Linked DNA regions of Neurospora crassa OR74A. The protein of the gene in region 1 interacts with the protein of each later gene in a pairwise test. Links are inferred from orthologs where the notes say so. Each region holds a gene or a part of one and is shown in the gene's direction. Other genes may lie near its edges. The genes, in order: NCU08067 and NCU03591.

What was found.
Region 2: the proteins of NCU08067 (region 1) and NCU03591 interact in a protein complementation assay, tested with the Saccharomyces cerevisiae proteins (2 studies listed by BioGRID). The link is inferred for Neurospora crassa OR74A from reciprocal best matches to the Saccharomyces cerevisiae genes SHO1 and YBT1.

Annotation. Positions count from the first base shown.
Region 1 is NC_026501.1:152,413-168,214, forward strand, and holds NCU08067 (osmosensor protein), read left to right. Parts: upstream 1-5,624; 5' UTR 5,625-6,866; coding exon 6,867-7,016; intron 7,017-7,094; coding exon 7,095-7,403; intron 7,404-7,464; coding exon 7,465-7,974; 3' UTR 7,975-8,704; downstream 8,705-15,802. Other genes in the region: NCU08066 (amino acid transporter), read right to left, coding at 318-1,069, 1,120-1,279, 1,333-1,916, 1,975-2,054, 2,124-2,197; ro-10 (RO10), read left to right, coding at 3,377-3,599, 3,670-4,100; NCU08068 (mitotic spindle biogenesis protein Spc19), read left to right, coding at 10,178-10,762; NCU08069 (hypothetical protein), read left to right, coding at 11,551-11,595, 11,743-13,431. UniProt on the Saccharomyces cerevisiae protein: Plasma membrane osmosensor that activates the high osmolarity glycerol (HOG) MAPK signaling pathway in response to high osmolarity.
Region 2 is NC_026505.1:1,738,732-1,754,173, reverse strand, and holds NCU03591 (ATP-dependent bile acid permease), read left to right. Parts: upstream 1-2,623; 5' UTR 2,624-3,054; coding exon 3,055-3,122; intron 3,123-3,209; coding exon 3,210-8,256; 3' UTR 8,257-8,673; downstream 8,674-15,442. Other genes in the region: NCU03590 (hypothetical protein), read left to right, coding at 8,868-8,964, 9,180-10,453; NCU03589 (hypothetical protein), read right to left, coding at 10,708-11,378, 11,485-11,497; NCU03588 (FPD1), read left to right, coding at 12,015-12,292, 12,373-13,069. UniProt on the Saccharomyces cerevisiae protein: Vacuolar class C ABC transporter which regulates the translocation of phosphatidylcholine to the vacuole lumen, the release of lumenal calcium stores, and acts as a negative regulator of vacuole fusion. Exhibits ATP-dependent bile acid transport.

The DNA of each region.
Region 1 (15,802 bases):
TTCACGTCGTGGACCTTTGTGACGGGGAATCGATACGGTTGTGAGGTACTGCGAGCGGCTCTGGTAGAGATGTAATATTCGTTTGCGTAAGGTAGGTATGGCTACCTACACTGCTTTTAGATCCAAGAAACGCAACTATCCCAAGTCCCAAACGCCCATCGCTATGAGCTCGGCTAGCCCAATGCTGCCAGCTCCTCGCAAACTATACAGAGTATATAGCATGTCAATCTGCCGATATCGCCCACCTCACAAACTCAAGATTCCCGTCTAAACGCCTACTCCAACACCCCATCTAACGTCTTTCTGGACCGTGGAGTCTAGTGGCCCCCATGCCCAAGCACAATGTTCATTCCCAAACATACCACCATAACAATCACTCCATAGATCGACAGTCCCAGCGCCATCTTCCTCAATAGCCCCGTCTCCAAGTGCTCCAGATCCCACCTCCACTTCCTCTTTAGCGTCCTTGCCAGCCTGCTTCCCACGCTGGTATTGCTCCTCACGCTAGCAATGCTGTCCATCATCCCAGCCCCAGATCCAGACGGTCCTGGCGACCCCTCTTCTTCGTCCCCATCGCTAGCAGACGATGAGCTGGAGGAGGAGGAGTACTCGGCATCGTCGTCTTCCTTGGTGAGGCGTTGGTGGTATATACTCTCCGGGTCGCTGATCTTGTAGTAGAAGAGTCCAGGCAAGATGAAGCTGATGGCCGTCGACCCGGTAGACCCCACGTAGGCAAGCACTCTATCCAGACTAGACACGTTGATGGCCGTGAAGTAGCTCAGGATCAGGATGACCGAGGTGATCAAGGCGAAGCGGAGTTCGGACATGGCGACTACGGGGGCGCCGTGGCTGTCGAGAGCAGCGCCAGGAGCACCGCCAGAAGGCAAGAGGGGTTGGTTGCCGGAGCCGGGTGGGGAGTAGACATTTTGCGTGCGAGAAGAGCGGCCAGGTCGCCAGCGCAGGACAGCATCGATGGAGGCGCGGCAGGGGTGTAGTTGGAGAGGAACGGAGAAGGTAACGAGGAAGACGATGGCAGCTTTGGCGATGGTGGAGGCTAGTGATTGTGGGTCTGGGACATGTTAGGCTTGGTTGAGAGGGATGGAAATCGGGGATACCTACACATGCTGACAATGTTACCCTGGATCTCGTTGCCAAAGGTCAGGTAGCCGGTGATGGCGACGAGAACGTAGACCGAGGCAGCGGAGCCAATGCTGGAGCCGATGACGCCGACAAGGCTGGCTGGCGAGTTATCCTTGATCTCGTTGACGATGGAGAACATCTGGAGCACGTCAGCAGGCTAATCTCCCGGGGGGCCAGAGTCGCTGTACTCACATTCTGATGGCAAGTATACGCAAAAATCATCACCGGCAGACTGCTCAAAGCAGCCACCGGTCCCTCCCACGTAACCAGCCTGATGGGGCCCCTCTCGCTATGGTCATCCACCGCATAGTGGTAAACCACCAGGATGATCAGATACCCAATCGAAAACAGTGCCACCAGACTCGTGTATTTGAGCGAATCCAGCTTCTTGGGAAAACTCAGCGGGATGAGAAAGACGACAAAGAAGACGGTGATCCAAAACCTGCGGTCAGCCAAAAAGTCCCAGCCGGTATTCCCCGCTCCGAACGCTGCCGCCACCGCGGGCATCAGATCACCGATAATGATCATGTACGACACGCCAACACCGAAGCATTTGATAGCAATGGCCGCGTCGAACACCACGGCGGCGTTGGGATAGGTGATTTGCGACAGCGCGAAGAAGGAAGACGAGCCCCGGTCGAGGTAGCGCGTGCAGCGTGACTGGAGATAGAGACCAAAGGCAGAGGTGAGGCCGCACCAGACGATCAGGATGACGCCGAGCGTGACGCCGAACTTGGACATGGCGTGGGGCATGGCGAGGGTACCGGCCCCGATGACTGTGTTGTTGCCCGGTTAGACATGTCTTTTTTGGGGGGCGAAGGTCTTGGGACGCACTGGTATTCAGCAGGTTGATGTTGCTGCTCATCATGGAAGCTTGGCCGCCACCCAGCTTGGGGGCGCGGAGTCTTCGTTGTCTAGACATTGCGCCGTCAGCTATGTCGACCAGAAGAGCCGGAACTACCTAGGTAGTCGCGCAAACGTACTGGACCATGGTTCCTCCGACACCGTGACTCGACCCTAGAAGGCCGCTGTTGGGTATAGTATGATAGTTGGTCATATCACTTTTTCTTTCGGGGGACCGTCTCGTGGTGTCGCGGGATGTTATGTTGGTTTGGATAAGTGATGGGTTTCGTAGTCGGTGCTGATACGCCCAAAGCCTTCAGGAACGAAAAGACGGAAGGAAGGGGGATTCGACGTATCGCAACCGGATCGTAATCGCCGGGGTCGATGAGGTGCTCGAGTCGAGGCTTCAATGAAGATAAGTACCGAGTGATGGTGGGCAGTCGGCGCCGTCAGTTGTCGTCGACTGTCATCAAGTCACAGCATCGGGGAAAGCGAGTGTAAGTCTGCAAAGCAGCAGCAGAGTGCCTATTCGGGGGCGATTCGATCCGATGTTGGATGGATGATATGGTCGCGTGTTCGATAACTCATACGGGAAGAAAAAAAAGGGATCGATGATGATGACGAGACTTTATTTGTTAAGAAAAGTAGAAAAGCCAACTTTAGCGAGCTGACAAGGACATCCACGCAACGTGGGCAATGGAGAACAGCGCCAGCACAGACGGGAATGACGGGTCTTCCTTGTTCTGGGGATTCGATGGGGGTTCCAGGGAAGGTGTCAGCTACCTCTACAGAAAAGGTACCGCGAACGCCAAGCTCACTGTCATTGCTCAGTCACACGGGCCTTTTGTTTCACATTTGTACATAGTAGGTACCTACGGGTTCGGTACCTTACTCCGTCACTAACTCCACACCGCAGCACTAACATCCAACGAGTGTAATTTACGAGTGAAACAAGATCGTTCAGGGGAAGAGAAGCCTTCCAGGTGGATCAGCGGTGAACTATCGGGGGTCATTGAAATAACAAGATCAAAAAAGCCAAGCTCCAGCCTTATGAGAGTTTACAGTGGTAGGTAGCTTGTTCAGTGTTCCACTGTCCAGGAGCAGGGCCTTGTGTTGTCCGGGCACCAGTCGCTGTCCAACGGGCGGTGTCCGGGATGCGGAGGCGGGGTTGAATTGAACGGTATGTTACCTTACAGCCTTACACGACCCGTCATCGGTCTAGACACGCGCCGTCAAGGTTCTTTTTCCTCTGGACAATTGCCACTGCTTGAGCTCAGCTTCTGTTTACCATCTTAATTCATCTTTGCGACATCCCCTCGAGGCGGGTATAACCGATACCACCGATACCGCATCGCATAACCCCAATTACCAACAGAACTCGCCCACCAACACCATGGACGTCTCCCAGGAAACCTCAAGCCTCGACAAAACGTCTCTAGCCACCATCTCCCTCCTCGAATCCCGTCTCCGGCGGATCGAGCACATCCTCTACGGCCCCTCCGACCCTCCAACGCAAGCGCCCTCTTCCTCCGCAACGACCTCTCTTGCCCAGCTTGAACACCGCTTCAATCTGCTCATTCGGCGCTTTCGCGTGTACGCCGAGCTGCTTAAAATTCGTACGTCCCTCTCTGTCTCCCACCTTTCCATTTCGCATCACTTCAAAGCTAACCAGAGGCCCCAAACCAGACAAAGCCAACCCCACACTCTTCCACACCTCCCCCTCGGCCGATCAAAAGCTCCCACCAACGGACCTCCCGCCTGCTGCCATTCTCGCGACAGTCCTTTCCTACGCCTCCCAGTTTCCCCAGACCGCGTCCGCCCTAGTTGCAGCCGCCCCAGCCAACACCATTGAATCCGCGATTCCCGACAGCAAACTCTCGGCCGAGTTGGCGAGCTTGATACCCCGGATGAAGGGACTGGAGGCCATGCAGTTGGCGCAAGAGGCGGAAATAGCGGAGCTCAGGGAGAGGAGCGAAGCCGTGATGAAGGCATGGTATGAGAAGAGGGTGCTGGGGTACGGCAAGTTTGTGGCGGAGGGTGAAGCGAGGGTGGAAAAGTGCGAATTGAGGGTAAGGAGAGCGGAGAGGGTGAGGGAGATGGACGCCGCTATAGAGTGAGAAGGCAAAGAGGAGGTTCGAGACAAGATTATGCGATACATGGCTAGTGAAGCGGAGGAGCATGGATTTTGGCTTGCGGGAAACAAAACTCACACGGAAGCCATTTTACCGCCGCTAGAGAACGGCGTCACGATTGATCAACAGGTTAGGCGACCGCGAACAAATCACTGGGGTTGTGCGTATGGAATACGACACGCCGTTGGTAGCGCGCGTGCACTTTACGAAGTGTGAAGAGCAGATCAACAGTGGTTGGCACATTCGTACGAGAACAATGCTAGTGACCAAGGGAATGGGGCAGATGTCATTGCGCGGCAGATATCACGCGACAGATGCGCGGGAGTCGGGCGTCATCTTTGGCCCACTGGAATGTTCAGCCGATATCAACACTCTGCTCGCCGTTAGCACCGACAAAAACCAGATCGACGGTGCTGTGGTAGCGCTCTATCTGGAATGAGAATTCACGGGAGAGGCTTTTTACAAACGTCACAAACACGCTTGATAGCCGGCAGTGATTGTTTGGCTCCTGCAGATGGGATTCCGAAACGAACGGCGTTGCCCTAGAACTCACGCGGCGAGCCTAAAGCCCCTGCCTGCATGCTGCATGGGTGTGGATTCGTGGCATGGTGAATCCGTCTCTCTGTTGACATTTTCTGCCCGTCACCGAGCTCAGCTGAGTGATGTCGCATGGTAGCCAGCTCTCAGCCTATCATTTACAGTCGGTCACGATGTTTCTGGACGACCTAGCAATGAGTGAATGGAGCACAGACGCAAGCCACATGGCTAGCTGCCTGACTGACTTCCGAGTGTTACAATGTTGTGAATGTTTGAGACTTTTTGACTATGAGTTTGAACAGTGTCGAGGTAAGATATATCAAGATGGAAGAAGAAAACAAGAATAAAAATAAAGATGTCCTGGCCATGACCCAGTACCCTAGAGCCATCATTCACTTTGAACAGGTTAATCACCCAAGCAGAGTCTACCTCTAGGTAGGTATGACTCCCCATCAATCACCACCATCAGCTACAAAGACTGTCAAAAAGTGCAGAAAAAGAAATCGAGCTGCTACAGTAGCCCGCCCTGTGTCTGTGTACCTCTAATTTGCTCCATGCTCCCGTCCCCACACAGCCGCTAGAGGTACAGTAGGTAAGCAGCGCCTGGAATGTCTTGGCCTAACGATTTGCAGTGAGATTGAGGACCGTGCCTCTTCTGACTGGACATTGCATTCATTAGCCCAGCAAATGCAATAATGCGATTGGCTCGTTCGCAGTGTTGCCGCGTGTTGCCCGGACATTGTACCTATGTCACTGCAAGGGAAGGATTCATTCATTGTGCAGCGAGCAGCCGCCAGGCAACGCACTCCAGGAGTCCAGAGCCTCCACAGCGGACATGGCTCCCCCCCATCTTCAGTGGATTCAGTGGGCTCCATTGTTGGTCCCTTCCTCACTTCTCTTGCGCGGTCTCGTCCACTCGTTTCCACAGCAGCAGCCACCTCATCCCCCCCCGGTTGCTGCCCGCCCCGGAGTCCCTCAGCCAGGCCCCGTCGTTGGCCTTCCATTCCGGATCTCCCACCACCACCCAGCCGTCGTCACCCACACCCACACACACACCATTTCCCTTTTCACGTCCCCGTCCGTCCGTCCTGCCCGTGCGATCCCCTCATTTCTGTTCGTTCCCTCCTTCAATTTTTCTTCCCTTTCACTTCTCCATTGGCCGGCGTTGATCATCGCCCCAGCCACGTCCAACAACAATTTGCTCAATCCATCAATCGCTCCCTTCGTTCCCTCAACCTCATCAACCTCGACGACGACGACGACGACGACGACGACGACAGCATACGATTGTCCGACCCTGAGCTGAGCTGAGCCCTTTATTAACGCGAACCGGAACAAGACGGGGGGATAGTACAATACGACGTTGGCAGGTACCGAGATATCACACCCGACTACCGTCATACACCGGACAAACAAAGAAAAAGGGAAACAAAAGAAGAAAGAAAACAGGAAAAAGGAATCCAGGACCATTTCCAGACTTCCAGTGGACTCTTCTACCGCCCTTCTTCCAACTACCGATTGATCTTGCGTGTTTACCGTATCTACCCATACCGTACCGCCGCCGCCATTCGTTCCAACGGACAACTACCGTACCGTCACATCTCCCGACCCGTGCGACCGACTCGTTGCTTATTTCCCCTGAAGATTCAAAGGCTCTGTCCTCGTCTTGAGTGTCCTTGGAGTACCCGACGGCCACTTCCCTTGGACTCAGCCTCCTCTTTGCGGATTGCCAACCAACAAACACCCGACGGAGCAGCCCGACAGCGACCACCCAATCTTTCAATAACATTGCAACTGTCCTACCTTCGACTCATTTCCATACATCGCCCAATTACTACCTACCCATATTTGCAACGACCGAGACGAGCCATACCGCGTTGCTGGACACCGAATTCCTCGCTCAACGTCTTGCAGCAAACGACAATTGCTACCCGACCCGAATTTCTTGCTTCGACTTCGACCACTTGTCGCCGTCGAACTTCCTCTCTTTTTTTTTTCGTGACATTGCATCTGTCATTGCAGAACAAACACATCGCATTACCAACCGCGGACTGGTCCCCGGAATACGACACACACACGGCCCCTCGCCGTCATCTTATACCCCAAGTGAAGGTGTGCGTCAACTAAAGTGTCCCACACACGTCGGTCCATCACTTATAACACGGACCTCGAATATCCCGAGAGGACGCTCTTCCTTGGCGACCTTCGCCCTTGATGCAATCGTACGGAGGATCGGTTAACTATCCCCCGTCCTTCAACAACCCCAAAATGGAACACGGCAGGAACTCGTACCGCCGAAAAGGCATAGACATGGGCAACATTATTGGTGACCCATTTGCTCTGGCCACTACTTCTATTGCTACTGTGAGTTTCCATACGCGCGCGCGCTGGCGTCCACCCTTTTCCCGTCCTGTCGCCTTCACGAACTGACAATCACCACAGCTGTCATGGATCATCATCCTGTTTGGATCCATCTTTGGCTTTAGGGACCAAAATGACGGATCGAATGGGGCTCCCGTCATTGTTTGGCCAACCTACAGCTGGTTCACCCTCGTCTTCAACTTCTTCCTCATTCTCGGCATTTTCATCGTCATCGCCTCGGACAGCGCTCAGACCTACCATGTCGCCATCGTTGGCTACCTGGCCGTCGGGCTGGTCGGCTCCACGTCGTCGATCAACAACCTGATTTACAGTGGCGTTGCGTCCATGGAGGCGACAGCGGCTGGGTATATCTTGTTGTCCATGGTGACGGTATGCGGTTCCCCGCTAACTTCCCCCAGCTGGCTGACCCCATTTGCTAACGTCCCGCCAGATCATCTGGATATTCTACTTTGGCTCCGCCCCATCGGCTGTTCCCCGTGCCTACATCGACTCCTTTGCGCTGACCAAGGAATCCACCCTCCCTGCGCATCACATGAGCCGCCAAACCATGAACCACAACGGTCTCTCCTCTCCCAATGCTTACGGCTCCTACAACATGCGCCCTGAAACCTCGGCCTCGGGCCTCCAGCCTCCGCAAATGTACACGGGTCAGCTCAACGGGCTCGAAAACCCCGCTCGCCAGTCGCAGATTCCCCAGGGTTTCTCGTCCAACAACATCCCCAAGCCGCAAGGAGAAGGGGAGATCGTTCCGCCGACGGAGTACCCGTACAGGGCCAAGGCGATATTCAGCTATGAGGCCAACCCGGACGATGCCAACGAGATTAGTTTCTCCAAGCATGAGGTGCTGGAGATTAGCGACGTGAGCGGGCGGTGGTGGCAGGCACGGAAGGAGAATGGAGAAACGGGTATTGCGCCGAGCAATTACTTGATTTTGCTATGAGCGGGCTTGAATGGGTCGGGGATGGAGTTGAGGTTTTTCTTCGTCTTTTTGAAAAGAGAGGATTTGGCGTGTGAACCGCCAGTACAAAACAAAATCATGAAGTGGTTTTTTTTCTTTTATCTATCTTTCTTTTGAGTCGGCGTTTTATACCCACATTAACGTTACACTTTCTTCTCGACCACCCACGGGACTCGTAATGCGACACACCAAAAACCGTGGCTCGTTTGGAAACGAAGGCGAAACCGGATGTTGGATGCGGACGGGGCAAGGTTTGGGTGGAAATGGAGTTTTTTTTCCCTTTTTTCTTGCAATGTCATTTTTCTATCTTCTCTTACCCTTTTTCTCAATGTCTTTCCTTTCTCGTGTTACACTAGTTCTTGTATCAACTTTACATGTCTTCTATTTTGCGTTCGGCAGCTACGGCAGAGGATAGGCCGCTACTGGAGAATGGCAATGGAAGAGGGAACAGGACAAAAAAGCGGGGGAAGATGGAAATGGGTGCTGTTTTTACGAATTTCATGCATGGCGAGGAACGGAGAGAAGATGGACGGACGGATGGAGGCTGTGAACCCAAAAGGAGATGTACCCACAAGCAGCAATTGAACATCCAGCGGCCGGAGTTGGGGATGTTGGAACTACCTACCTGTAGAGAATGAAGACACAGTCCGCTTGATCATGATATCGATAATGTACCGAGTCCGATGATTAATTGAGCTTGTTGGCTGCCTCCCAATTTGCGGGTCTCAATCGCCAATTTCCAATCTTCATGATGGAGGAAAATCCGAGATTATCGAAATTAGCCAGGAGCGAAGGTGTGGAGATGCGAGGATCTTACCTAACCTCGCTCCAGGTCGCTCATCACCACTACCCATGTCCATCACATCTCGGACAGGGATATTGCTTACATTGTTATGGTCCAACATGGAAACAGCCAGCCACCTAGTGACAAAGACAGCTATGAATGTACACTACATAGGTAGTTTGTTACAATTGTAGTAGTCCGCTAAAGCAATAGCAGATTGGTTGCAAACATGCCCGTCCAAGGAACTGACATCTCTACTCTAGAGGTATTTCCCCAGTTCATTGCGTTGCTCTCTGTTGGTAACTTACGTAGCTTCATCCATCTCCGCACCCAGTTTCATTGTAGGTATTATTCTACGCCGTCACCGCTCTGGTTCTGATGGTACCCATCGTGCCAATCTTCCTCCGTAGGCCGCTTGTGCTCCTTCTCGTCATATTGCTCTTACTATCCATATGTTTACAATTTCCACCACAAGAAACTTGACTATTCGACATCGATGAGGTGTCCATTCTTTCTCGGCCTGGGTTCTTACCTATGTATCTCAAGATTCGCCTATAGCCAGGTCTGAATCATCCGAAGCCGGAAGCGTGGCTCTTCAGCTCTCTCGACGACGACTCTGTTCGCTACCTACGTTTCTCGTCGTGCTCGTTTAGTTGACCTTGCTTTGCCCAGCTCGTGTTCTTGTCTGTGATCGAATAGTTGAGGACGTTTTGAAGGGTCGAAGTAGAGGAAAACGGTGGTAGGTAGTACGGCACTGCTTGGGGGGAGATGGATCTGGGAGGGCGGAAGCTGAAGATCAGGACAACGGAAGATGGGGTTGAAGACATGGAATCTGAAGGCGGGGTGATGCAAGGCACGGCACTAACAGCCCCACAGGGCAGCCGTTAGGTTAGTGCACGGGTTGTCCCACCAAAAGGGTCCACCGTTCAGGGGGCTGCAGTGTCCCCCACAGCGGGATCGGGAAGGCTCCCCCAGTAGGTACATACACACTAAGTCTAGGCGGCATGTTAGGTAGGTACCTATGACGCGCGAAGACAAGAAACGCGACGGATCGTCTTTTTTTTCTTCGGCTTTCCACTTTCCCCCTCCGACCGTCTTCATCTTTGCCTCTTCGCTTCCCCAGATCAACACGGGGCAACGACTATCCGCATATCTCCATTCGAACACAGACAAGGACTGTCGCCATATCCAACTGGGCTAGACCAAATCGCGATCCATTTCCATAGACAAACGACCACCGCGCCGAAAGTAAACAAACCGCGAGAGAGCACCAGCCCACAATCCCCAAGCCACCAAACAGCCGGCGCAGACTCCCTATCTCCAAGTCGCGAGCCTCTTTAGTCACGACTAGAGATTTATTCAAAAACCGTCGGACCAGAATTGTCCACCCCGATCACCAAGATGAACTACAACTACAATTACAACCCACCACCCCCCTCCTTCTCCACCCTCCTCCCGCCTCTCCATTCCTCTCTCAACCTCCTCTCCTCTTCCCTCTCCCTCCTCGACTCGTCCACCTCCGACTTCCCCCGACTCTCCTCTGTCCTCAAAACTGTTCGGCACTACGAACTGATCCCCCAACCGACTTTACAAGCTGCCGAAGCTTCATTACGCGACGAAATCGGCCCGTTCATCGAGCTGCTGCTGGAGAGGGTGGACAAAGAGCTGGAGCGAAAAGGTAGGAGGGTGGAGACGCTCAAGGCCAGGTGTGAGCTCAATGGCGGGAGACTGTCGAATTACAATCGAGAACAGAAAAGTGGTGGTGCAGGAGGCGGCATACAGAAGAAGGGTGGTGGTACTAAGGAGGCCGGAAGTGGAAGTGGGGGGAAGAAGCTCAATGGGGAGGCTGCGCTGAGAGCCAAAGTGGTCAGGCAGCGCAAGGAGGCACTCAAGTATAGTGTCGAACGGTTGGAGATGGAGGTGGCCCAGAAGGAGAGGGAGTTGAGGATGAGGTTGGAGCAGCAGGGAGGTGGGCCGGTGCTGTGACGGAAGTTTATACGGGAAACGGCATTATACACCCGCAAACGAACCCGCGGTACCAGAATGCTTACGGATCTGGAAAGGAGGGACGGCTTGGCCGCCACGGTCGTGGACGGACACAGTAGCTGTCTATTCCCATGTGCCGAACTGGACACCGGGTCAAGAGACTCATGCATGGTTTAGGGGTCTCGAGAGGATACCGTCGTGAGTCAGGGCAGGGTATCGACAGCCTCGCCACGTCATTCCACTTCTGCATGGCTAGAATCGCTTGCACTTCTTCCTTTGGGGCCCAGAACTGCTGGTATTTAAATCCCCTCGATGTTTCCTTTCTACTTCATCTCATTCGTGCCTGACCAACAACACCCAAATTTGCTGCCAATTACTACTAGGTCGCCAACAAACGCTCCAAGCGGGGAATAAAAAGCCAGTTTCCTTGATCCCATCAACTTCAATTTTGGTCAAACACCCTGTCGTGCCCGCAGTCAGCCCAGCAGCCTCCAGATGGTTCCGGCGTCTAGCAAACAGCCATGACAGTGTGACACCGCCGGCAAACCCTGCTATCAATGAGCAATATCGGCGCGTTGGACCGGGCATCACACGGGAGGCAAGTCCCCACAGTGTTCCGATGGCCATTTTTCCGCCTGACCTGCCCGTGTGGTTGACGCATTGGGTTCACGACCGTCTACCCATGGGCCCACGAATAACCTGACGAGCTCCAGCCTTCAATGTGGTCAAGGTTCGGTGTCGTATGAATAGATGGAAGATGGACAATAGGCCAGTCGGCCAAGTGAATGATGACAGCAGACGCTACAATAGCACGCGGCGTGATTCAGACATTGGTAATCGGTCCTTCGTTGCTAGCCTTTTGGCGGCACTGAGAGGTATAAGTTGTTTGGCTTCCCCATACGTTTTCCAGCGAATCCAGGACCAGCAGGTACCTCCCTTTGCAACCCTGAACTGGAAAAGCAAAGACACCTGCTTGACAGGCAAACCTCAAGCAAAGTGTCAAGGGGATGGAGGAGCCACAAAGGGTCTCAGAAGGGGATACCCCCATTGCCAAAGAAACATCCGAGAAGGAACCTGGCAACGTAGACAACAATGCCGACGTCAAGAACGCTACTGAACCAATGAAAGATGGGAAAAACGACAACGAAAAGAGTGACTGCGGCGCTCCCAGAATCATCATGGCTTACATCCCAGCCTCCGCCCCGGCTTCACCCCCGGCTCCTGGCCGCAACACCCCGGAGGCATCTAACGGCGGAGGTCGTTCCGAAACTCCCAACTTGACGGCAAAGCTCAACCAAGCTATCCACGAATATCGCGCTCGGGAAGAGAGAGTCGGCGATCTAGGCCAGCCGGACCAAGAAGGCTACGAGGGAGACACGTATTCACAAGGCGCGCATCAAGGATGCTGTGACCACGACCACGAGAACCAGTTTGCAGCCCATGATGAGCAATACTCGCCTCCTCATCTTCAGCAAGGCTGCAATGGCCACTCACTACCCTATGTCAACGCACCGGGGTGCTGGACTCCTTACCACCCAGCTTCCAGTGCTCCCCTGTACATGCAGCCACCTTTTGGGCCTCCTTTTCAGCAGCAGCAGCAGCAGCAGCAGTACGCCGTTCCTTATTACCCACCGGTTTCTCAGCCTTATAACTTGTCTTTTCCCTCCCCTCATTACTTTTCCAACCCCCATGACTACCAGTACTTGCCCAACCCCCATCACCACCAGCACTTCTCAATCCCTTTTGCCCCTCCTGCCCGTCCACCCCATGTCCGGTCTATCCCTTCCTATGCTCATCATCCCTCCCCACCCCACCACCAGTTCCTGCACCCCCCATCCCAAGATCCCAACGTCCTTGAGTTGACCAAGCACCTCCATAATATCCACGCCCAGCTCAACGGCCTCGACGCCGCCCACGAAGTCGAGATCTGGCGCCACGGCAAGTACAACTTCCACCGCCGCCGCGCCAAGCACCTCCGTAAGATCAAGAGGGAGAAAGTAGAGGAGATGGTGGCTGTTGTGAGGGAGTTGCGGGCTTTGGGTGTTGGAGGGTACGGACGGCATCACCACCAGCCTCCTCAGCCTCAAGGTCAACAAGAGACATGGACGCAGGAATTGATGGGTTGGAGGACAACGGCGCCGGGATGGGGACGTGGACATGGACAGCCTGCGCGTTATGGACAGCAGGAAGAGCAGTGGTTGGGAGGAGGATATGGATATGGACATGGATACGGACGCGGACATTCGAAGGTGGAGGTGGAGGTTGAGCACAATGGTGGAAATGGACGCTGCAGCTGCGACGAGAACGGTGCTCATGTCGATTCTCCGCCTACGGACAGTGCCGTTGAGAGTATGGCGTGCGAATGCGAGTGCGGATGCACTACGGTCGACGAAGAAGCTAGCCCCGTAGGCGAGTCGAGTGATGTCGTGATGCCAGCAGGAGCAGGCGAAACCAGAGCTCGCGCCTTGTCGCTTGATGGCATGAGAGAGCAGGTCAAAGCCGTCGAGGCTCATGAGAAGCAACATAAATACGGTGACGGCGGCGGGAACGAGCAGGGCGAAAGCGCTGCGAAGAGTAGCAGCTGTGCGCGTGCCGGGTCTTGGTCAGACGCACAGGTCGTCATCTCTGAAGAGCTTCGGGGTAATTGGCGGAAGAAGATGAGGGATTAAAGAAGGGGTGATTTCCGATATTCGAATGAGCGTGTGCTTTGGAATTGGCGTCAAAAGAAAAGAAAAACGTAAATGAAAACAGCTGTTTTAGCAAAGGATCATGGAGATAGTTACCCAGCGAAGCGCGTATTTAACCGGACTAGGAGGAAGATACACCTAAATTGAAGGCCTAATCGACATAGTATTGCTGGCTACGCTGTTCTTTATGTCTGAATTGATCTGATGGTTGATAAAAACATATCGACCAGCATATGAACATCAGGATACCTCTTCAATGTGTGTACACGTAACATTTGATGGTTTTGGTGGTGTTGACTCTAGAGGTACAGGTACCTACCTGTAGAGGTACATACATAGTGTGTTCTAGACCCTGGTGAAGCGATAAGATAAGATAAAGCCAGAGAATTGAGTTCCCCCACGGACTCCGCTGTTCAACTGCCGTCCCGACCATTTGGTACCACTGTGTTTTAGCGCAAATCACCTCAAGAAGTACGTATTTGTGATATTCCCTGGTTTCCACTTGAGTTGTTCAATCATGAAGCCGATATCATTGAGACCAACTGCCGTCAGGTTATCCGGGGATCGGCGCCCCGGAATCGCGGCAACACGGAAACGGGTCGGCCCCGAGTCGGCCCCGGATCGGCCCCGGATGGAGCGGATGAACGGGATTTGTACTGTATGTACCTCTCAGGATGATGAACGCCGCCCGAACCTTGGACCTCACATTGTCGAAGGAGCAAGCCATCTTCATCGACACTACTCATTTTCGTCAACGACGGCAGCACTGTTCAGCTGATACGGATCATTGTTGGTCCAAGCCGGCTCAAATACTATGTACACCTAGCGAACCACCATGGTCACTCCCTGCGGAACTCCGAATCATAGCAGCGACTACGGACCACGATTCCACGCGACAAAAGATGCCACGCTACACCATGTTCGACAATTTCACGTACAAATCTCCACCAAGTCGGAGATACGTCCGCTTCCGCCGCCTAGGCTCGAGCCAAGCGAGCCAAGCAAGCATGCCCAGGCACAGATATCAGGGACGGACCCGGAGAGGGAAAAAGTGAACTGAAGCTTGGCTATGTATAAGGATTTCTACATGGATCCCCATACCTCGACCAGGCCAGCTTGGACATCTAAGACCGCGTTTTTCAAACGACCCGATTTCGAATGACAACGTCAAACACCAAGACAGCCGAGGTGAAAAGATTTTATGTGCAAATATGCTCGGAACTTTTGCAAGCTCCCCAACAATTGTATGTTGTCCACCGTGGCAAAATGAAGCGGGAAGCGAGGAGGCCTCCGTCTCTCGTCTCGTTCGTTCGTATCTGAGTGGGTGGCCAACGGTCCAAGCAAGCTCGCGAGAAAAAAAAAAAAAAGTCTGATGGCGAAGAGACGCATCGATAGAAATCTTCCGACAATCCGATAAGACAGACAATACGAGTCCAACGAAGGTGGTCCATCATCCATCCATCCATCCGTCCGGGCTGACGACGTCGGTAGACCTGGGAAGATCTTTCAATAGTGTAATTGAAAACCCGAACCGGGACCCAATGACCGGAATGCCGACATGTCCCCGTAAATTCGCCGACCTATTGCGAAACACAAATAGACGCTGCTGAGATGAAGATGGGATTTCGAGTCAATTCTCGACAACATCTTGCTCGCCCAAATCGCAAGTTTCTGTGTCGGCGGTACTTGTGGTAGTCTCGTTCGTCCGGAAGTTCCCGAGACAAAGCTAAAGTCAACGTCTTGTCGTCCCAAACGAGCGAAGGAGCAGCAGCACTGCAACGAGCTACCCTAGCTAGCAAACCGCGCGCGCTATGGTGTGGGTACATATTTCTGTGAGAGATCGTCAAAGAGGTTCACTGTTCTTGGATTAGTAGACTACCTGTAGGTACCAGGCAGACATCTTTTTTTTTTTTTTTCCCAATATAAAAATGTGTCGTCGAGTTTTTTTGGTTTTGATATGGCCGTGTTAAAGCCTAAATCTTGGCTGAACGAACATCAAAAGATCTAGACGGCTCTATCTGTTGCATCTTTTCGTATCACTCGCGGATCCGGCCCGTTGGGGGGCGTGTTTCTACAAGGGGTTGTATGAAGAATACGACTTTACAATACCTGTATTACAGCGATTACCTTCTGTATGTTTGCCCTACAAAAGGTACCTCTAATATCAAGTTCCAATGGTAAGGAAGGTACCTACCGTCTGTACAGCATCAGTGAAGCTAACCCATGGAAACCACATACCTGCGGGCAACAATGAAAGAACGGGAGGGTAAGGTTACGTTCCGCGTGGAACACCTTTGAAGATAATAACACACAAGGAGAATGGCATCAATAAACAGATGGTAATTGACACTGA
Region 2 (15,442 bases), on another chromosome or scaffold:
GTTGGAGGAAGAAAGGCGTAGCCGAAGGCCGTGCTGCGCGGGAATCCCTTTATAGGAATTCCAGCGCCAAACTAGTACAAGGTTACGTGCCTGCTAGAGCCTTCTACGCAGGTAGGCACGTAGTCACGTGCCTACCAGAGCCTCCAACGAAGGTGGGTATGGGTAAGCTATGCCCAGTCTAATCTAATCAATTGAGTAATTGTACATATGATAACGGTACTGTCAATATTCCCGTATCAACGAGCGATATATAATTGAATGAGATCATATGTAACCTTAGGGTCTCTACCGGGTCTATCCTAACTATTAATATATAATATAATAACAACGTTAAGGTTTTTTAGGGTAAAGAGCAGAATCTTATTAGCGTTAGTACGCTTGGTCTACTAGGCGTTATACTTATTAGCGTCCGCTTTATTGGGCTCTAGGACTATCTTAAAAATATATTCGGCGAATTGGAAATAATTAAGCTCGGCTATAAGGCCTTAATACTAGTCGGCGATGTTTTGGTCGCTAAGGAGGGGAACTAGTGATGAATTAGTAGTTGTTGTAGGTATAGGAGGGTTTAATATATTAAGAAAAAGAAAGTTGGTAGTCGTTAAATTAGCCGTTAATTAATTTAATTAATTCGATAATAGAATCGCTTAAATCGCTTAATTCGATAATAAATAAACCGATAATTAGTCCGTTGAATAAATCGATAATTAATTCGATGGGGTCGCTATACAATAAGTATTAGTAAGAATCTTTATATAGCGAGGCTAGCTTATGGGCGAGCGGGCGAGTCGTTAAGTCGATGAAGGTTGCAGTTGCTTCTTTTGACCCGGTGCTGCAGCGCCTTATTGAAGTTGACAATGCGCTTGATGATGCGCTTATCGTTTGTCAAAATGCGATTACAGGGAAGGTTAGAGAGGGCTCATAACCTGTAAGACCATCGAAATTAAGCGGTTGGATACGATTAATTGAGTATTATGGAGGAGAAAGAGGGAGACTAGTAAAGTTTGGAAGGCTAGATATGGTGCGGTCTGGGCAGGGCACAGAGTGGGGTCTGGGCCTAGTGAATGCTGTGCTCAGTGAATGCTAGAGACCCACCAACATACCTACTGTATAGAATGCGAGGTTGTACACACATATGTACCTAGGTACCTACCTGTGAGGTACTGTAGCAATCGTTGTAACCGTTCGGTCCCAAAGATTGGATTTAGAGGGGGATGGACCACGAATGAGCTGAAGATGAAGCGATTGGGATGTCAATTGAAGGGTGATATTGGAACTTGGATTTATACAGATCGCGGATGGCTTACCAGAACTGAACTACTCTCCAGGTCCAAAAACAATCCAAGGTTGGTTGTCATGCCAATACTGTACAGTAATTGCCATGTTACGAAACGGCGGAGTACGGTATGTGGTGGAGGTTCGGTTGTTTGGTTGGGATACGTACCCGTTAGGTTGTGCATGGACACAACTGAAGGACCCTTGTTTCCGTGTCCTTCTTGTTAGCTGTCACATGGATGGCTCGCAGCTGGTTATCTTCAGTTGGGTTGTCCATCACAACGGGAACCCCTTCCACCTCCCCTTGTGCCCGTCGACAGATGTGTTTTGCGCAACCTGATCGGCTGTGATTGTTCCATTCGAATGTGATTCAAGAAAAAAGAGGTTGACTTGTCCTGATTGTATCATCCAAGGTCAAACTGACAGGTTGACAATGCGACGCCATAGGTAGGTAGGTAGGTGGCTCGAGCGTTGTGTCCCCCTCCCGCCCAGTTCCCAACTCCAATTCCCAAGTCCCAAACCCACATAGTTTCCCCAGTTGTAGTCCCAGCTTCCGGGGGTCCGGATTCCACTTGGGCACTTAGAGACGAAGCGCCAAATGCGGAGGAGGCTGGAGTCTAAGAGTAGTGTACAAGTACTGCGTCAGACACAATCAAGGGTCTTCTGGTCCAATCAAAGTTGTAATCGATCTGAAGGCGGGACAGAAAGCGATAAGAAACCGCAACGGTGGGAGACACTTCCTACGATGAGAATATAATGTGTTGGTGATAGGCATCAATGAAGAGGTCGTGGTGGTGATGATGCTGATGATGACGAGCCTCGAAGCCCACAATGAGGTGTGATACGGCCAACATAAGGAGTTTATACATCTGCCTGGCCGGAAAACAATAATGTTCAGTTGCTTCGAGATATCGATGTGTTACCGGCTGTTTAGTCGATGGGGATTTTGTGATGTATAATACAGCCATCTTGATGCGACCTTCCCCTTCGGGCCTTGCCGTCTTACATAGCTTCAGTCATGTTCTTTTGACTCGGCAAATCAAGCCCGGAGCACCAGTCTAGCGTAGTGGAAGATGAATTTTCTGGTTTGTCAAGGACCAGTCCCAGACCACAAGAAACAAACGATACATACTGAAAGGCCACCGCTTGTTGATTCCAAATGATCACAAAAAAGTCTTTCAATTGACAACTGGCAGGTCTAAAGACGAGATCCATAGCCCCACTATCAAGGCTAAAAAGCCCCCCAAAAACACTAAAGAGGTGTCCAATCGACCCCACCGGCGTGCCGGGCAATTGCTCATCGCAACAATACTGGAGGGTAGGTTGCAGCAGGCAGACCTCGCGCTGACCACTCACCCTCATCCACAGCGGGGAACGACAGGCAACTTCAGTACGGCGAATCCCAGCCAAGACCAGAGAACCAAGGCCCATCCCGTCATCCACCCACGACTGGAGTTGCTTGCTTCTTATCCAACTTAAAGTCGACCGAGTTCCGGAAAATTCATTCCTCTCGAACCTCGCTCGCTCTCGAGGAATTCCGTCTTCCTTCGCCGCATACTTCTTTAGCCCGCCAGAGAATATCAACCTCTCGACGGCCCCAACCAACCCTCAGCCGGACTTTGCGACAAAACAGCAAAGTTCCGACGTCTTTTTTTTGGGCTGTATCACCCGCTGTCCCGAGACATCATCAACGTCCAGGCCATTGGAAAAAAAATAAAAAAAAAACACACCTCCTCTGTCTCCAGCTCGCTCGCCACACGAAGGCGCTGCTGAGCGCGCGAAATGGGTTTCGCTCAGTGCGGGTGGCCGATATGGCGGACCGACGATTTCACGCCATGTTTCCAGGAAGAGTATGTCCCAACAACGCCATCGCCAGCTTTGCGCTTATCTTCCCTCATCTTGACCACCGCCGACCGCTAACAAACTTGTTTCCACAGTTACCTCAAGATCCTCCTACCATTGATCGTCGTAGGGCTGTCCCTACTACGACTTCTCACCTCAAATCTCCTCCGAGCTGCCAAGCTAAAACCGAACCACGGGTACGATCGCGTCGCCGATAACGAGCAGGACCGCACCTACTTACCCAGAGACGAAGAACCGGTCGACGAGAGTGACGAAGATGAAGCGCTGACTATGAATGGCGGCCGCCTTGCACTGGCCAAGGTCACTACCAAGGGCTCCATCGTGCAGGCTGATACTCCTGCCGGTCAAACTGCCCTTACCGTTATCGAAATCCTCGCCATTGCCGGTCTGGTCGGTGTCAATGTTGTCGCCTTGGTTCTCGAAGCCTACAGCGGCCATCACGGCAAGATTGCCGCCATTGCTGGTCTCAGTGCTTGGACCTATGTCCTGATTCTCGCCGCGCTGCGTCTCATTCTCAGAAACACCCAATGGCGCGCATCGCACCTCTGGAACCACACGGCTGCCATCTACTCTGCCCAGTGGCTGTTCTCGCTCATTGGCTTCCGCTCCGTCATTGTCCATCCTGCGACGCAGCTCAGGCAGACTTTGACCATCGTCGATTTCGCTTTGACCTCGCTCCTCTTCTTCATGTCGATCAGCACACGCAAGGGAAACAAGACGGTCATTCTCGAGTGGGAGGACGGTATCCAGCCCAGTCGCGAGAACTTGGCCTCTCTCTTCTCCCACTTCACTTTCGGCTGGGTTGACTCCATCATGTGGGAAGGCTGGAAGGAGCCGTTGACTGCCGACCGGGTCTGGAATTTGCTTCCAACTGACAAGGCCGCCACCGTTTTGGCCAACTACCGCCAAGTGCAGAAGACCACTTCGCTGGCTTACCACCTCTTGAGCTACTTCAAGGGTATGGTTGCTGCGCAGGCTGCCTGGGCTATTATGTCGGGCGCCTTCACCTTTGCACCCACCCTGCTACTCAAGGCTATCCTCGAATATGTTGAAGACCCGACCCAGGCTCCCCGCAACGTTTTGTGGCTCTATGTGATCCTCCTCCCTATCACTGATATTGTCCGCTCTGTTGGAGACGCTCAGGCCCTCTGGATCGGTCGCAAGATTTGCATCAACATCCGTGCTATCCTTGTCGGTGAGATTTACGCAAAGGCGCTTAGAAGAAAGGCTGCCGCCGGTAACGACAAGGTTCTCGGCGAAGACAAGAAGGATGAAGCTCCCGCCAAGAAGGGTTTCTGCGCAAAGCTCAAGCGCGCTTTGGGTCTTGCGAAGGATGACAAGAAGGCTAATGATCAGTCTGCGGCTGAGACTGCCGTTACAAAGGCCGAGGATAAGGCCGCCGAGGCTGATGAGCAGGCCAATCTGGGAACCATCACTACCTTGATGTCCGTCGACAGCTTCAAGGTCTCTGAGGTCACTAGCTACCTTCATTTCCTCATTGCCTCGGCTCCTACACAGCTGATTGTAGCCATTATCCTGCTTTATAGCGTCATGGGCTACAGTGCCATCCCTGGTTTCATCATCATGGCTCTGCTCCTTCCTGTCAACATTGGCTTTGCCAAGAGTTTCCAGTATACCCAGAAGAAGATCATGTCGGCTACTGACAAGCGCATCCACACCACGAACGAAGTCCTCCAAAACATCCGGATCATCAAGTACTTTGCTTGGGAGCACAGGTTTGAGACCATTGTTGATGAGAAGAGACGGGCAGAGCTCAAGGCCTTGCGGGCTCGGTACATGGTCTGGGCTTGCGCAGTAGCTGTCTGGAACACGGTTCCTATCCTCATCACCTTCTTCACCTTCTTTGTCTACACCGTCATCGAGAAGAAGCCGTTGTATCCCTCCATCGCCTTCACCGCCATTTCTCTGTTTATGCTGCTCCGATATCCGCTTGACCAGCTCGGAGACATGATTGCCCACGTTCAGGAGTCCAAGGTGTCTGTAGACCGTATCGAGGAGTTTTTATCTGAGGAGGAGACCGAAAAGTACAAGCAACTGGGTCAGGACAGCGTTGACGAGAACGGCAACAAGATTATTGGTTTCAGGGACGCCAGCTTCATTTGGGGCGGCAGGAACACTGTTGCTAAGGACGGAAGCTTGGCTTTCCGCCTCCTTGACCTCAATATCGAATTCCAGCAGGGCAAGCTCAACGTCATCACTGGCCCCACGGGATGCGGAAAGTCCTCTATGCTTATGGCTTTGCTTGGTGAGATGACCATTCTCAAGGGTCGTGTCTTCCTTCCCGGAGGCCGCAGCCGTGAGGATGTCCGCCCCGACCCCGAAACTGGCCTTGCCGACACGTGCGCCTATGTTGCCCAGCAAGCCTGGCTTGTCAATGGTTCTATCAAGGACAACATTCTTTTCAGTGCACCGCTTGATGAGCAGAGATACAAGGACGTCATTGTTGCTTGCGCTCTGGAGCGTGATCTGGAGATTCTTGATAACGGCGATGAGACCTTGGTCGGTGAGAAGGGCATTACCCTCTCCGGTGGCCAGAAGCAGCGCATTTCGCTGGCTCGTGCCGTCTACTCCAACTCTAAGCACCTTCTTATGGATGACTGCCTTAGCGCCGTTGATTCTCACACCGCTCAGTGGATATTCAGCAACTGCATCATGGGTCCTTTGATGAAGCATCGCACTTGCATCCTCGTATCTCACAACATCCCTCTCTGCGTTCCTTTCTCCGACTTCGTTGTCCAAATGGCCAATGGTCGTGTTACTGCACAGGGCTCCCCTCAGGAGCTCATCGCGGCTGGCAAGTTCGGCGAGGACCTCGCCCAAAAGTCCTATCCTGGCTCCGCGCATGTCTCTCGCGTCCCTTCCCGGGTTCCGTCTAGTGTCGGAGAGGAAGGTGACCACACCATGATCAACGAGGCCGACGGCAGTGAATCTCAGACTAAGGCTCAGACGATCAAGAAGGAGCACAAGAAACAGGATGCTATGGAAGAAAGCAAGGCTACTGGTGCTGTTAAGTGGCCTGTCATGAAGCTCTACCTTACCGCTATGGGTAAATGGTGGTTCTGGGTTTTATCCGCGGTTGTTTTTGGCGCTCAGCAGTTCTCTGGTGTCGCCACCAGTCTGTGGATCAAGGAATGGGCTAACCAATACGCTATGGACGAGGTTGTTGCACCCACCTTCAACATGAACTCGCAGAGCTATTCCAGCCAGACCGTCTCACCTACCTACTTTGCTTCGATCGCCACCTACATCAAGGGCAACGACAGCAACACTTTCTCGACCACCTCGAATAGTGATGTCAACGTGGGTTACTACTTGACCATGCTGGCCATCATCGGTATCGGTGGCGCCGTTGCTGCTTTCGCCAGGGACATGTGGATTTTCTTCGGTTCCTTGACTGCCTCGTGGAAGCTCCACCAGCGTCTGATGCGTGCCGTCGCTGGTGCCCGTTTCAAGTTCTTCGATGTCACCCCTCTCGGACAGATCATGAACCGATTCAGTAAGGACTTGGAGGCTATTGACCAGGAGGTTGCGCCTATTGCTATTGGAGTCATGAGTTGTGTCCTCGGAATTGGCGTCACCGTTACTTTGATTGCCTGGATTACTCCCGGTTTCTTGATTGCCGGTTTCTTCATCACCATCCTGTACGTTTTCCTTGGCGCCTTCTATCTCCATGCCTCGCGCGACCTGAAGCGCCTGGAGTCCGTGCAACGCAGCCCTCTTTTCCAGCAGTTCGGAGAGACTTTGAGCGGTGTCGTCACCATCAGAGCGTATGGTGCTGAGAGACGTTTCATTCGGGAAAACTTTGCCAAGATCAACGCTCAGATCCGCCCGTTCATCTACCTTTGGGCTGCCAACAGATGGCTCGCTTTCAGGACTGATGTTCTTGGTGATCTCGTTGCTTTCTCTGCTGGAGTCTTCGTCATTCTCAGCCTCGGCAAGATCGATCCTGGTTCTGCGGGTATCTCTCTCAGCTATGCTATCGGTTTTGCGGATAACATACTCTGGCTGGTTCGTCTTTATGCGATGAACGAGCAGAACATGAACTCCGTTGAGCGCATCAAGGAGTACCTTGACGTCGAGCAAGAGGCCGTGGCTGTTGTTGAGGACAACCGTCCGCCTGCGAACTGGCCTGCCCACGGCTCTGTCGAGTTCATCAACTACACTACACGCTATAGAGCTGAATTAGAGCCCGTGCTCCGCAACCTTACCTTCAAGATTGAAGCCCACGAGAAGATTGGTATTGTGGGCCGTACTGGTGCTGGAAAGAGTTCCCTGACTTTGGCCATTTTCCGTGCTCTGGAGGCGGATGAGGGCAAGATCCTGATCGACGATATTGATATTGGTCTGATTGGTCTCCGTGATCTCCGTGAGGCTCTCACCATCGTTCCTCAGGAGCCTACGCTCTTCATGGGTACCATCCGGACCAACCTCGACCCCTTCAACATGTACACTGATGAGGAGATCTTTGCCGCTCTTCGCCGCGTGCACCTGATCAAGGCTGATGAGGTCATCCCTGGTGCCGTCAGCACCGCCCTTCTTCCTCAGACCCCCGTTGCTCCTGAGAGCGAGTCGGAGCCTTCTCGTCCCGCCACTGCTACCAACAAGAACATCTTCCTCGACCTTTCCTCTCCCGTCACCGAGTCCGGCAACAACCTCTCGCAGGGTCAGCGTCAGCTTCTTTGCTTGGCACGCGCCATGCTCAAGAAGCCCACTGTTCTCGTCATGGATGAGGCCACCGCCTCGATCGACTACGCCACCGATGCCGCCATTCAGGAGACCATCCGCGAGTTGACCAGCACCATCATCACTATTGCCCACCGTCTGCAGACCATTGCCGACTATGACAAGGTCCTTGTGCTGGACAAGGGCAAGATTGTCGAGTACGCACATCCCTGGGAGCTGATGCAGAAGACCGATGGCAGCTTCAGGAGTATGTGCGAGATGAGCGGTGACTACGACACGCTGGTCAAAATCGCCAAGAAGGCGTACAAGACCAAGCAGTTGGTTGATATTGATGAAGAGGATGAACAGCCGAGCACGGCTACCACTGCTGAGGGAAGCGGGACTGGAGATGAGGGAAAGAAGGATGGGGAAAACTAAATTCCTCTTGGAGATGCTGAAAGGAAAGTGACAGATGCAAGTCAAAATGGGATTAAGTCATGTTATAAAATGGCCTGATGGATCATGGAGTATGATTCAGAAGGGTATAGACCAACGAATGATGAGATGGAAACTCGGGATGGAGGGGGTGTCTTTTTTCTTTCTGGGTTGGGTTCAGGATGATGGAGGAAAACAAGAGCGCATATTTCATTTTGGTGCTTAACACATTTGCTTTGAGATGATAGACATCATCGACAGCGGGCATGGATGATGTAGTGTATATACAGAGATCAGAACTACGAATATGATCGCTGAAACCTGTGTAAATAAATGTTGGTGATGGCGACCGAACGAAGTCCATGGATAATATGCGCCACATACTATGTACCAGTAAGCCACCAAGATCCACTTTTCTGCGCCAACTCCCTATCCCCCGTTCCACTTGCTGTGGCGTCACGGTTCAACGGTTACTTACCATAGGCAGGTGTCACTATCATCCCCATGCTCATCTTGCTACAGTACACCACTTGGCGACTTACTTTCTCGGAGCCCCTCACTTCAACAAAACAACAAACCCATCTTTTTTTTTCTTAGTTAAGAACCTTGACAAAATGGTGCCTACCAAAGTGGAAGAAATTGGCAACCCGCGCCGAATCCTAGCCGTCGCCCTCACCGACTCCTCAGACCATCTCGGTGCCGTCATCAGAGGTATGCCATGCCACCTCATGTTCCTTCATTCTGCCCTTCTCCCCTCTCATTACTACTTCCCCATATCTTTCCCATTCTCGCATACATAACCAACCAGCGCTTTACCTTTTACCACCACTTTCTCTTTCTCCCCCCCCCCCCCCCCCCCCCCACCCCCCTCTCAAACATTTTTATTTTTTTTATTTTTTTCTTCCCCATTAATTAACAAATAATAGACCTAACCGGCACGGCCCCCACTCCCCAACAACAACAACAACCACAACCACAACCACCCTCACAAGAAGAAGAAGACGAAGAAGAAGAACAAAAAGATTCATCAGAACACACGGCAACGGAACCTTCCCTTGCAGGAATCACTCACCACCTCTCTCTCTCTACACCTTACTACACTGCATCCATCCCCATCTGGCTAGACCTGATTTCTTCGCCTGCCGACTGGTCAGCGAGCTTTTTGAGCGAGGAGGCGAAGGAGGTGCTGGGGGTTTTGGGCGGGGTTGTTTGTGTTTTTGAGATTCCTTTTTCATCATCTGGGTCTTCTATATCTTCTTCTTCTTCTTCAGGTGGTGAAGATGATGCCAAGGTGAAAGCGGCACAGAAAGAAAAGACGAGGGAGTTGATCAAGGGGGTGGGCAAGGTGGTGCGGGAGGGACTAGGTGGGTGGGAGTGGGAGGGTGTGGGGTTGGCTGTTGGCGTTACGACAACAACGGCGACGGCGACGGTGTCATCAGATATCGGTGGTGGTGGTGATGGTGAGACTACTTTTGCTGAAATGGACGTCGACATGGAAGATGAGATTAATGAATGGGATGACTTGTGTGCGGAGTGGGGGTTGGAGTTTGTTCATCATCGGGTTGGTGGCGGCAACAACAACAACAGCAAGAAAGGGGAGGAGAAGAGAAACGAATTCGGCGAAAAGATGGGCATCGCGCGAGTCCTGGAGGCACTGCAGTCTAATGACTGGTCAGGCGGAGACGGCGACGAGGGCGACAACAATAACAACAACCACAATCGTGGGCTGTTCGACGAGTCTGAAGACGAAGAGGACTACGTTGATGAACACGACGGGGATGCTGAGGATGAGTTCGATCTTGGCTTTGGGTACACCAAGAAGCAGAAAATGGAAATGCGGAAGGCGTTCCTGAAGGGGGCTGAAGATTCGAATAGGACGGCGGAAGAAGACTTGGAGGCGTTGAAGAGCGTGACGCAGACAACAGAAGGGCAGGAAAAGGCGACGAAGAAAGGTGAGGAGAAGGGGGAATCCGCTGCTGTTGCCACAGACGTAGCAAAGGCTGGACCGAGCGCTGAGTCTGAGTCTGGGGCAGACAAGGTAAAGGAGGAGGAAGAAGAGATAGGAGAGGAAGATGTGGAGAAGATCGCCAAGATGATGCTCAAGTTGCAAGCTGTTAGGGATATGAGCGGCACAGTACCGGAGGAGCAAAGGAGGAAGTTGGCGTTGAAGGCCGTCGAGGAGGTTATGAGGGAGTTGTGATGTCGATCAAGATATGGCACAGGCAGACGCTTCTCGCTGATAGTTTCTGTCACACGCAGTTCATCAGGTCGTCAACTACATCCGCCTCTCCATGTTCAAATGTCTTTGTGGCCACCTGTTCGCTCCCCAACCTATTTTGCTACGATACTTCGCCGGGCTATGAGGTAGTGGTGCAGAGTTTGAAAGAATCGTGTCACCGATACTGGATTTCCGTAATCGCAAACTCACATCGCCAAAAACTTGCAACCAGACCATCACCTTTGACCCATCCCCACCACCCCAAACGCCCTGTCCAACTCCTCGCCTTGATCTGGCACCGCCATCTCACTTGGACCCCCATTTCCGTGCCCCAACCCAAACCCTTGCCCACCAAACCTTTGAGTCAACCCAGCGATACTGCCATCCTTCCCCCCATTTCCTCCCTGCTGCTCGTCACTCTCACCATCTTGCGCATCCAGCAAACTCCCTCCACCATTCCCTCCTTTGGTGGAGCTGGAGTTCCCACCCTTCCGCTCCGGCTCCAACAACCTCGCCTCACTATCCAACCACCCCGGCGCCACCCGTCTCTTCTCAGCCAGCTCCCTTTTCTTGATTCTCTCCTCGAAAGCCTTCAGCTCCGCGCTGGCGTCAGACTGCAACTTGGCGACGTGCGCTTGTAGAGCTTGACATGAGGCGATGATGTCGTCTGGGTGGGCGGCGTGACCGGACGCAGGGGAGATGATGTATTTTGGTTTGTTGTTGGAGGACGCTGATGCTGTTGGGTCGCCTCCTTCGGATTGGTTGGGGGTGTTGACGCCAACGCCGGATGGAGAGGGCGGGAGGGCGCTTGGCATGGGCTTGTAAGTGTAGGGTAAAGTGACGGAGGAGGGGAGGGAGACGAAGGGAGAGACGGTTAGGGGGAGTTGTTGGAGGAGGGGATGGGTTCCTGGGTAATGAGAGGGGGTGTTAGTTAGGATGTTGTTAGGAGGGAGAGGAAGGATGGGAAAAAGAAAACAATAGCGAGGGGGGAGGGTTGGGGGTGGGCGACTTACGGTTGTCGTGCATTTTGAAGAGTTGTGGTAGGGGAATTCTGCGAGGCTGAGAGGTAGAAGTGATGTTTCAGGCCGGACGAAGGACCTTGAGGACTGGGACCACGACGGGTGGCAGAGGATAGATGAAGTGCTTGAGTACCGTCTATCTGAGGGCTCAGGTTGCAGTACTTCGATGTGATTGCAATAGTATCTCAATCGAGGTAGTTCCGCCTGTGTCGTGAATCTATTTCGAGGTTCCTATCCGAGTCGAGGGAAGCGATGTTGACGTTGTTGAACTTGGATGCGCGGGGATGTTCCAGTCTGGTGCAGTGGGCGATGATGAGTGTCGATGGAGCTACAGGGGTCATTCCACAGCGGGAACGATAAACTGATAAGCCCCATAATGGAGCAAATCGGACCCACTAAAAGATATGTAGGTCGCCCAGAGCCCCAGAGCTTCTGGAGCTTTAGCAGCTTCACAACTTCAAGCTCGCAGAGGTAACTTGTACGTAATTCTACACCAAAAAACACAACCTTAACAAACCAACAAAATGGCTCCTACCACGATCCGAACGCCGCCCGCTCTTGCGGACTTCAAGCCTCTTGAAGAGCACCTCCGGCAAACTCCCGAGACATTCTTTGGCGGAAAGCCAGTCCTCTACTACCATGCGACCGGCGCAAAGGCCTGGATTCCCAAGTCGCAGCGCGGCAGGTTGCCCTTCTTCCCGGCCGACCTCGAGGCCGAACCTACAGCTCCTGAAAGTGCCGCTTTGAGTGAGGGTGCTGAGGAAACCGTTGAGCAGAAAGTTGATCTCTACGTCAACTCCCAGTATGTCCATGTGCTCTCTAACCGTCAAGGTCCTCACGCGCTGGAACAAAAGTTGACAACCCCACCCCTCCTCTTTGCAGAAACCTCACGATATTTTCACCTTCCGCCGAAGTTGGCTTTGAGATCCCCTACCCCGTGATTAGCATTCACGCGATCAAGACCATTGGCACCGGCGAAACAAAGTACCCCTCCGTCTTCCTCCAGCTCGAGCTCTCCCCCGACGGCGGCGCCGACGACGACGACTTTGAAACCGTCGAACTCACCCTCATCCCCCAACCTGCTCCTGCCACCGAATCCCAACAAACCGAAATCGAGGAGGAGCCAACAATCGGCAAGAAACAACCCGACAATGAAGCAACAAAACTTTACAAAGCCATCTCCGCTTGCTCCGATCTCAACCCCGACCCCGTCGAAGAAGGCGACGAAGACGAAGATTACGACGATGACAGGATAGTCTTTGAGGGCGATGCCATCGAAGGTTTCCAGGGCGTGTTTGCGGGGTCGAATTCGGGAGGTCTGCCGCCGCCGATGCCTGGTAGTTCCGGGTGGATCACGGCGGAGAACGTGCACGAGTACTTCGATGAACAGGGGAATTGGATCGGTGGCGAGGAGGTTGAGATCGAGATCGAAGGAGAGGAAGACGGTGGCGTAAATGGAGGAGAGCTTGGAGAAGGTGCTGGTACCGTGAGGAGGAGGGAGGATGTAGAGGATCCGGCTGGTGGTGGAAGTGGAGAAAAGGAAGATCAGGGTGAGAATAAGAGGGCTAGGATTGAGTAGGGAACTCAAGGTCAAGCGAAAGCGCCCAGTAGACGCCTGTGCGTTCCGGCTGTTGGAGTGGACATGGCTAGGACTGGGTACAATGAGCTTGGTATACTTCTGGGGATGGTCGTTGGTATCGGTCTGAAAAGAGAGCGAGACGAAAGAAGGTGCATCAAAATTCACAATCAGCGTGTTACGTACGGGCGGGCTTAGTACTCATGATTACTGAAAATGATTGCCGGTGCGTGAGTCTTATACCTGATCCGTGTATTGACATATCCGCCTGGTTACCTACCCCGTAAACTTTGGTAACAAACGGCGAAGCACTTGAAAGCAGGGCAGGCCGCTGCCTTGTGATAATTCACCGGACGTTTGCGATATGCCCGTCCACAAAATCCACAAGACTTTACGATCAGGGCACATTCAAGTTGTCCAACCCTTTTTCCTTTCTTCTCCTATCGACCTCAAATCAGCATTTTGAGTCCGCGATGCTCCAATTCCTGCACCATCAATCTTGCCATTCTGTGTTCTGCTTCCTCTTGTTTCTATTTGATCTCTGCTCACCTTTTATTACCCTTTTCCTCCTTTTCTTTCCTCTCAATACATTCTTCTGCATCCTCGCTATTTCTCCCTCTTCAACCTGCCTTTTCCTTCCCCCCTTCATCCTTCATTTCCTCCGTACTTGCTGGTGTTCTAGGCTTCATTGCTCAAGATGCCACTTACAAGCAATTTCAACCTGACACCATGCTACTATGCCAATTTGATAGACTGCTTCGCTAAGTCAATGTCAACGTCCACGTCCACGTCCACCCAGCCCACCATCATCCACGTAGGAGGACCTGTGCAAGGCCACCAAACGCAGACTGCAATGGTGGCTGACTGGAGTTGACTGCAGGTTCTCCAATACCATGCATCACATTACGGTAGTGTTTTCTAAGATATAACGAACAAGCCGACAGGTTATGCACTTATCGGTTGTACCCGTTAGGGGAGAGGACAGCTCTGCCTGTGTCTCCAATTCTGCTCCAGCAAAGGAAGCGTGTTCTCGCTCCGCCCCTGCCTTATCCGAAGGGCGTCCTGAATCCCCCTTCGCCCACCACCTCCATTTCTAACTCTCGCTCTCGTTTATTTTGTTTCTTGGCGTACCTCAGCTGCAGGTGGCCCGAATTTTGAGGCACAACCGTAGTCACTGGACAGGAAAAAGGTCAGTCATCTTCTAGTATGCAACCCTATTTAGAACTTGGCAGACGTGGCAGTGGCTGACAATTGGACTTATGTTTCTTAAAGCACGAAGGGCTGCGCAACATTTTTACCGCAGCGTTGACAAGGGGGTACAATATTCGCCGTCTTCGATACTGCGAATAGAAGGCCAGTCATCCTGTGCCTATGCACTGCCTCCCAGTACCAAGATTTCGGCAGGTTTATGAGAGCCAAGTACATCCTCTCCTCTTTCCCGCCCCCCCCCCTCCCCCCCCCCCTCCTAAAACAAAAGAAGAAAAAGAAAATATTGTCTTTCAGTCAATTACCAACGCTTACCAGCTTGCAAGGCTTCTCTGGTCCCTGTTCGTGCTACAGAACCACACTACGACGTACGGTGATAGGGAGGTGCCGTCATGGCACAGGTGCATGAACTCGGGAGGGCGAGACAAGAACATCGATGGTTCAACCTGAGCGGCTGAGGTGCTGTATCGCATCCCCTTGGCATACAATCAGCGCTTCACACAGTGAATCTCCACGTCTACGGCATCAACTTTGCAAAGGTACCCACATATCCACAAGGCATTGACATGATGGCGGAGTTGGCTAACATGTGTTGAGATCAAGGCCTGGACAGCTGGACAATTGGTAACAGTCGGGTGCTATGCCTGATGTTAACTATCTTTGCTACCTCTCCAGGCACCTAGACTGGAGTGGGCATCGTGAGGGCGTCGACGAGACTAGCACCAAGTCACAGTATTCTGAACTTGCACCTACCCGGCGAGCCACGCCAAGTGCTTGCTTCTCGACTATCTTGCAGTCTCCGCCGCCATAATAGCCTACCTTTTCAGGCCAACCTCCCCTTGCAGTAATGCCGTGGAAAGATCATGCAACTATCTTACCTATCAAACTTGTCTCTGCACGCAGATGTTGAGGCTTTTGGGGCTTACCCACGTTATCTCGCCCCCTTTACCTGATCTTCTTCCTCGCCATCGACGCACCGATGCCGAGCATTCTTCCTATATCACTAACAACAGATCCATATCTCTCCACAGACCAACTATCGCCACCAGCAGCGAGATGACGGCGACGACGAACTCCAGATCCGAGCATACCTACGCAGTTCCCCCACATATCACTTCCGTCTGTATCTAGCAGAAGCACGGCAACCGAGCTGCAAGATACACCTCGGAT